Linked DNA regions of Arabidopsis thaliana. The protein of the gene in region 1 interacts with the protein of each later gene in a pairwise test. Each region holds a gene or a part of one and is shown in the gene's direction. Other genes may lie near its edges. The genes, in order: GATA11 and bbx23.

Region 1 (4,849 bases):
TAATGAAATCTTTTGACAATGCATCTAACAGACGCGTACAAGAGTTCCTAAAGAGGTCATTCAGCAGATCAAATCGCTTAACAACCTCGATGTGGAGCTCTACAAATATGCAAAAGTAATCTTTGCCAAAGAACATGAATTAGTGTCGAATAAGTTGATCTCAAGTGTAAGAAACTTCTTGTCTTCACATTTCGCCTTTTAGTTTCTGTCTGATATAAGACTAAACTCCATGATTCGTGTGCAGTCTAAGAGAAGCATTGTTGATCTGCCGAGTGAGTTAAAGAGCGTATTGGGAGAAATGGGTGAAGAGAAGCTATGGAAGTTCGTACCAGTGGCATTGATGCTTTTATTGATCGTCCTCTTCTTTCTATTTGTAAACGCTAAAAGGAGAAGAACCTCCAAAGTTAAGATTTGATCATTGTCACTATATTTTGGACCAAATCAGCAATTTGAAGAAGCTTTTGGGGTCCAATTTGTAATATTATTCTCTTTCTTTTTCTACTTTTCGTGGAAAAAGAAAAAGTTTTGGGTGTTGCCTTACCTTACAGGTGAAAAAGGGAAAATCACAAGTAAAAAAAAACTCTCTATCTACTTTATTTTAAAAGGCTAAACAAAACAGGTAAAGTCACAAAATTAGTGCTTCTTTTTTTTTTTTTGTTTAAGTGAGCTTAATCAATAAAGATAAAAGTAATAAGATTTCACAATTTTTTTTTTTTTTTTTTTTTGAGAAAGTACACTACTAACTGGTTTGAATTTGACTGTACCATTTTTCACGCAACAGACTGTGTGCAATTTAAAGTACAGTTCATACAAATCTCTATAAAACAAATTGTACAAAAGCAGTAAATATACCCCCACGTGATATTTGTTTTCTTATCAACGACGCAGTGTAAACAATAATATGTCAAAAATTTTGAAGAAAAAATCATATAAACTATATAAGAAGAAAAAATGAAAAGAAATATGAAGATCGTGTATATTAATTTTTTTTTATATAAAAAATACTAATAATAATAATTGATTGATGGGAGGAAGATAGTAAGTGAAAGGGATGAAACATATCATGTGGGAGATGGAAGCAAAGAGTTAGGCAAGGGACCCACTTTCCCATGAGGAAACGCCATAATCATCTTTATTATTATTATTATTTCGGTTCTCGTCTCTTAATCCTTCGTCGGTGATCTCTCCATTTCACTTTGACTCTCTCTATTATACTAAAGGTTTTTAGTATATTATGTTAAACCCAACTTATTTGTTTGCTACGTAAATTAAATTATACATCAATTCATGATACTATCTATTATTATTGCTAGAGATCGAGATCTATCAACCATCCTTCCCTCAAGGTTATTTTGCCATGTGCTTATCCTATTTTCCTTTTTAGATCTATTCCACGCAATCATTTCTCTATTTAATTCTTTTGACCATCATTAAGTGTTATTACCATCTTTTAATTTCCATGTCGACATACTATTACCATGTTAAAATGGGTAAATTCTTTCTTTTATCCTTTCATTACACCGACATATATTCCTTAAAACCCATTCAGATAAAATATTTGACTGATATTTTACTTACCTTATATATATCAGCTTTAATGATACAATATCTTTATTAATTGCAAGAAGAGGTTTAATGTTACAGTTGTACCCACAAGTTTTAGTGCAACGTTTTCAATTGACTTGGATTAACTTAACAAATACTATTACTACTTCAGTTAGTGTATATATATATTTATTGACATATGTAAAAGAACCAAAATTGAGTTTTTTTTTTCTTTTTGGTAAAACGCGTTGATAGAGAGATTTTTATTTCTCAAAGAAACTGATTAAGATTTTTCTTTAAAGTTAAGAAAAGCAGTTTCCATAATAATAATTTTCATATACAAGTAAGTAAGTAAGTAAGTAATAGTATTACATTATTATCTATTTTAAATGAATGAATCTCTCTCTCAAAGAAACTGACGAGACATTGAAAACTCCCATCTACCTTTTCTCTTTCTCTCTCTCTCCCTCCCAAAGTCGAACCTGCAATCCCTAAATCCCCAATTTGAGACCATCTCCAGTTCGTCATCGTACGACGACTCTCTCTCTCTCTCTCCTCTTCTCTGTATAGTCGAATTATATTACAAGGTTCGTTGCGTCTCTCTCTCCCTCTCTTTCTCTCGTTAGGGTAAAAGCTTTCTCTTTTATTGTGTCTTGTCTTGCATTTTCCTCTGTTACGTTTTGCGTTGTTTTCGAAAAATGTAGGAAATAAATTTGGTTGCTTGCTTTGTTGGTGTGTGAACCGACACTTATCTCTGTGATTTTTTTAATTAAATTCTCAGTGATGTTTGAAGGAATTGTTTCAATCTTCGTTACCTTAAAATGATGTCGTCATTGTTATTGTATTGGGTAAATTTTCTGTTTTGTAATTGTTTTAGCATATGTCTCTGTCTGATTGTGTCAGAGTTTTGAGTGAAACCCCCAAAGTTTTTTTTTTTTTATTTAACTGGACATGAAGCTGTTTTTGAATTCAGCTTTTGGTGAATTTTACGCTGATTTTTGAATGTGTTTTATCTTTTCTTGGGTACAGTTAGATAGATAGCATGAATTGGTTACCTGAAGCTGAAGCTGAGGATGACTTCAAAGGTCTTCTCTCTGGTGATTTCTTTGATGATCTCATCAATCACCTTGACGTCCCTCTTGATGACATTGATACCACCAATGGTGAAGGAGATTGGGTTGACAGGTTTCAAGACCTTGAGCCTCCTCCCATGGATATGTTCCCCACTTTGCCTTCTGACCTCACCTCTTGCGGCTCTGGCATGGCCAAGGCCCCTCGTGTGGATATTCAAAGGAACATTCCTGCTTTGGTGAGTTCTTTGTTTTTTTTATCACTTTTGCATTTTACTTGTTTTGATTTTTACCCAATTTGAGTAAAAAAAGCTTTTCTACCTGAAATTTTCTTGCTTATTTAGTTACTCATATAATTTGAGTGATGTCAATCTTTCACTTTCCGCTGTGTTTATAACCATAGTTAGCAGCATTCATGTAGAGGGTATTCCTAATCCGAGTATAATCTTGTGTCACTTACTTTACTGGTGCATTGATTGTGTTCCTGATTTTGCAATCCATCTGATTTGTTTGGTTTCGTTGGTGCAGAAACAGTCCTATTCTTCTGAAGCCTTGTCCAGCACTCTCCACCAATCTTCAGCTCCTCCTGAAATCAAAGTTTCGAAACTATTTCAGTCTTTAAGTCCAGTGTCAGTTCTCGAGAACAGTTATGGTTCTCTCTCGACCCACAACAATGGATCTCAGAGATTGGCTTTCCCTGTGAAAGGCATGAGAAGCAAGCGCAAACGCCCCACAACACTGAGACTTAGCTACCTTTTCCCCTCTGAACCCCGAAAGCCCGAGAAGTCAACCCCGGGCAAACCTGAATCCGAGTGTTACTTTTCTTCTGAGCAACATGCCAAGAAGAAACGCAAGATCCACCTGACCACCCGCACGGTCTCTTCCACTCTGGAGGCAAGCAACTCGGATGGGATAGTCCGCAAATGCACTCATTGCGAGACAACCAAGACCCCACAGTGGAGGGAAGGACCCAGTGGACCGAAGACCCTCTGCAATGCTTGCGGAGTGAGGTTCAGATCTGGTCGCCTAGTTCCAGAATACCGACCAGCCTCAAGCCCCACCTTCATCCCAGCTGTGCATTCAAACTCACACAGGAAGATCATTGAGATGAGAAGGAAGGACGACGAACAGTTTGATAGCAGCATGATTCGGGCAGTGATATCCAGAGGGTAAAGCAGTTTTTTTTTTAAAGTTTGGTCTCTGATCCGCAGAAATGGGAAGTCAGTGGAGGAAGAAGATGGTATAAAAGTAGGGTTTAGTGACTGTTTTCAAATCTGATGAAGAGAGTTTAGTGGTTTAGTTCAAGTTAGGGATATGAAATATTTTGTTGTTTCATTATGTGTTTTTATCTTTATCTCTTGGCTGACATTTGTGTATCAGAGGAAAACAGGTGAAGCCAAAGTTTGCTCTCTTTTTTTCGCTATTTCAAATCTATTCTTTTTATTCTTCAATCCCATAATCTTCTTCTTTTTTTCATCTGTTTTACTATTTTGCATTAGTTGAAAAATAAACGCCCATCAAATTCAGTCATGGAGGCTGCTTGCTTATGTACGTATATGATTAATGTTCAACAGAAGGAAACTGAAGTGCAAAAGAGTTTCTATGTAGGTTAAAGACGGACACCTTGGTGGTAAGCTAAGTAACAACTTCCTCTAGCTGACAACAACAGAAACTTAATGATAACAGAGAAAGATTAGAAAACAAAAGCTTTTTTCACAGAGACGAGAGACTCACCTACAAGAAATTTCAACTAAAACCAAGTTTTGTTTCATTACGCTCATACAAAATCACACTGTACAAGATGCTGACTCTAAACTCCAACTTCATGATCCACTTTCCAGTAATTGTTATCGTTGAACTCTTTCATTCCTCAGTCTTTAGGTCCTCAGCCATCTCCTTGTTCATCTTCATCGCTTGCTCCATGCCTTTCTCTGTCACTTGTGCTTCCACTCCCACAAATTCCACGTCCTTATCAAAGAAGGATCTTTCTGAACCGTTTGGAATCAAAGATTCGGTTTTGACGTCAGGCATTGGTAATGTCGAGGCTCATTATGTTCTTGGTGTCATCATCATCGATAAAGAACATTGATCTTTTGGTTGGAGACCTTAGCCTCATGACTTGTGAAGATGGATAACAAACCTTAGCCTCATTATGTTCTCTGCTTTAGTGGGTTGTTGGTACCCAAGGTCTAATCTTTTTGGTGGGTTGTGTTTATATACCCCAACCCAAAGGG
Region 2 (3,616 bases), on another chromosome or scaffold:
GTAAGGGATCAAATTCGACATGATTGTGTGTGTTTTGGAGTTATCTAAACAAAGTTTTTCGACTGTCGAAAAGCGCAGAAATTCAAAGGGAGAGTGCCTGGATACGCTGTGAAAGCAGTTGACACAACTGGAGCTGGTGATTCATTTGTTGGTGCATTTCTTGTCTCATTGGGAAAAGATGGCTCCATACTCGATGTACGTATAACCAAAGACGTTTTCAGTTCATAGATAAGGCATATGAAATTGAGTTTTGGTGATTGAGTAATGTGAATGTTGCAGGATGAAGGGAAGCTGAAGGAAGCACTTGCCTTTGCAAATGCATGTGGAGCAGTGTGTACTACTCAGAAAGGAGCTATTCCTGCACTTCCCACTCCAGCTGATGCTCAAAAGCTCATGAAATCTAAGTCTAAATAGTTTCAATCTTGTTCTGTTCTGTTTCTGTTTCTTCACTCTTGTCAATTTCCTTGGTTTTCACAGAGTATTTTCTCTGTTATCTGAATAAATCTAGTTTCAAGTTTCTGCCAAAATTGATTCCAAACTAATTCATATACCTTGATTTTTAATTACATGACTAATGTTCTATAACAAATAATCAAGAGGCTCTATAATATAAAGAAATGAACATTTTATTGCATATAGAGAAGGTTACAGAGATTTTGGTAGATAGGTTACAAAACATGACACTCCATTTAGCTTACACAATATGAAACTCAAAACTCTTGGATTTATAATAACTCTCTTCAGACTCAGAAAGTAATATATAGTTTCTTCAATATCAGAGTTCTTTGGATTCAGAAGAGCTGATTTTTGCAGTTTGGTCTTCTTCAGCTGCAATGTTAACAACTCTTGGACCCTTAACTTTTTCAGGAGATAGTTTCGTGAGGTTAATAGTGAGCACACCATTCTCAAGCTTGGCCTTGACTGATTCCATATCTACATTATCAGGTAGCTTGAACTGTCTCCAGAATTTTCCATATGATCTCTCCACTCTATGCCATTGATCTCCTTTCTTCTCTTCTTCTCTTTTCCTCTCTCCACTGACTCGTAAAACTCCGTTCTCCTCCACTTCTATCTTTACTTCATCCTTCTTCAAACCGGGGATATCGAGCATTATCTCATGCCCTTCTGCTGTTTCTTTCCAGTCTACTCTTGCTGGAGACAGAGCCACGCTTGTGTCCCTCTCGAGTCCTAATGGGATTCTCTCCAAGATCTTGAATGGATCAGGGAACCGGTCTAGCCAGAGATCGGATAGCAAGCTGCCTGGAGTAGTTTCAAGTGCAGAAGACAAAGACCCTTCACTTGTTTTGATGTTTCCAAGCAACAAAGCTCCTATGAAGAAGATGCTTAGCAAGTGCTTCATCATGGTTAGTGATTTGGATTTATTGTAGAAGGTTGAAACCAAAATTTTAGGCTTTTAACTTCACTTTCTTATTTTGTTTTCTATGATGGTTAGTCTCAATTCTCTGGTGTATATATAATACACATTGTATGAAGAATGAAGAAGTTTCTTGAAATATCTTTCTTTTGGTAGAGTTTTGCAGAGAGAGATATTGAGATTGTTCTAGCTTTTTTGGCTGTGACTTGTACTAATTATGTTACTACACGTTGGATAAGTTTGTTGTGCCTTTAAGGGTCTTCTCTCATGTTCCAGAGACTTCATGTAAAAACTATGGATTGGATTGGGCCTTAATAGTTATTTATATCCAGGCCTATTTTTATTGGCCCATTATGATATTTGGGACCAATTCTGTTTGTGATGAGTCTTAGAATTTTGGCTGCTGCATGGGAAAGGAATGGGAGAGAGTTTGAATGATGCCATGCTCCATTTCAGTTTCTGACAACATTTTAGAGTTTTTGACCTCTATTGCCCTATGGCTAGTTACTTTTAATTCCACAGTCTTTATGCATATTGTGGTCCTGCCTTTACTTTTGGCTTGCCATGCTTGTGTCTTAAGAGAAGCTTGTCGCTATGTTTGTCAATTTATGTTTTCAAAAGAAAGTAAAACTATACAAGCTTCTGAAAAAGATCTTGTCATGGAGATTTTGGTAGGAGAACATTTATTGGTTTAAATGCCACCCAAAGTTGGTCTAATAACCCCATATTGAGATAAAAATTTCGTCTTCGACATATCGTTGTATATCTATATATAGTTCTCTCTTTTCATGAATAAAGATCATCAATTCCTCTTGGTATCAGAGCCAGGTTTTGATATAACTTATGATCCCACCACACATGTGAACTTATTTAAGCTTGTTCTTTCTTGTTTCCTATATTTAGATTCACTCCTTGTCCTAATTCTCATAAATGTCAAAGAACATTTGTTCTGTCTGTGTATTGGCAATTTACATTGATTTGGATTATAAAGTTGAAGGATGAAGATACAATGTGAAGTGTGTGAAAAGGCTGAAGCAGAAGTACTTTGTTGTTCAGATGAAGCTGTACTATGCAAGCCATGTGACATTAAGGTTCATGAAGCTAATAAACTTTTCCAAAGACATCACCGAGTCGCCTTACAAAAAGATGCAGCCTCAGCCACCACAGCTTCTGGAGCTCCTCTATGTGATATCTGCCAGGTTCCAATCTCTTTTCTCTTTAAACACTCGCTGAGCTCTTTAACCGATGTCTCATATATATGTATATGCAGGAGAGAAAAGGGTACTTCTTCTGCTTAGAGGATAGAGCAATGCTGTGCAATGATTGTGATGAAGCCATTCACACTTGCAATTCTCACCAAAGATTCTTACTTTCTGGAGTACAAGTTTCTGATCAGTCTTTGACTGAAAACTCCGAATGCAGCACTAGTTTTAGCTCTGAAACTTACCAGATTCAGTCAAAAGTGTCTCTGAATAGTCAGTACTCTAGTGAGGAAACTGAAGCTGGAAACTCAGGTGAGATAGTACACAAGAATCCTTCTGTAATCTTAAGTCCTTAGAGATATACACACAACATCATGGTTCCGGAGCCATTGATGTTTAATAATAAAAGTTTCTGTAATATATTATCTTACACAGAAGAAAAACTTGTTGAGGAATCAAATCTTTTTGTTACAACAAATATTAAAACCATGACTTAACAACTAAAGTCAGTGGTCATGGCATCGACACAACCAAAGCTAAGTTGTTCCAATAGTTTCAAGAATTGTAGAAATGTGAATACTATTTGAATCGATCTTAGATATATAAACAAAATTTAAAAAATGAATAAATAATTATTGATTAAATATAATTATTTATCTCAAATATCAAGACTTGGATAGAAAATGCATAACTTAATGAGACAGTCATAGATTACTACTATTAGCTCTTGTACTTTCTTTTTGCCTCACTACAAGAACTATAGACCTTGTTGGATTTGAACCAACGTTGGAACATAACTGATTAAGAAGTGACCATTGAGATTCTTCCTCATCATGATCCAATTGTATACATTTATCTTCTCCCACAACGTGTAAAAAAACGTTGGAGACCCCATGCTTACCACGACACACCAAAACTTTGTTCTCCTGGTCGACCAAAAATTTATCCCACTAGCAAACCAAAAAGGCTTGTAGAAACTTTCTCCATGACGCGGCTCCGGTACCGTCAATCTTAGTTGCAATCCCTACATGATACATCT

The links.
Region 2: the proteins of GATA11 (region 1) and bbx23 interact in a two-hybrid assay, tested with the Arabidopsis thaliana proteins (one large-scale study listed by BioGRID).

What each region holds. Positions count from the first base shown.
Region 1 is NC_003070.9:2,485,141-2,489,989, reverse strand, and holds GATA11 (GATA transcription factor 11), read left to right. Parts: upstream 1-1,904; 5' UTR 1,905-2,132; intron 2,133-2,139; exon of another isoform or gene 2,140-2,172; intron 2,173-2,483; exon of another isoform or gene 2,484-2,574; 5' UTR 2,575-2,587; coding exon 2,588-2,854; intron 2,855-3,143; coding exon 3,144-3,788; 3' UTR 3,789-4,142; downstream 4,143-4,849. Other genes in the region: TPST (tyrosylprotein sulfotransferase), read left to right, coding at 32-166, 245-415; AT1G08005 (serine/threonine-protein phosphatase 6 regulatory subunit), read right to left, coding at 4,479-4,646.
Region 2 is NC_003075.7:6,368,284-6,371,899, reverse strand, and holds bbx23 (B-box zinc finger family protein), read left to right. Parts: upstream 1-1,949; 5' UTR 1,950-2,373; coding exon 2,374-2,574; intron 2,575-2,645; coding exon 2,646-2,933; 3' UTR 2,934-3,071; downstream 3,072-3,616. Other genes in the region: AT4G10260 (pfkB-like carbohydrate kinase family protein), read left to right, coding at 79-195, 280-414; ATHSP22.0 (HSP20-like chaperones superfamily protein), read right to left, coding at 776-1,363. UniProt on the Arabidopsis thaliana protein: Probable transcription factor that may be involved in seedling photomorphogenesis.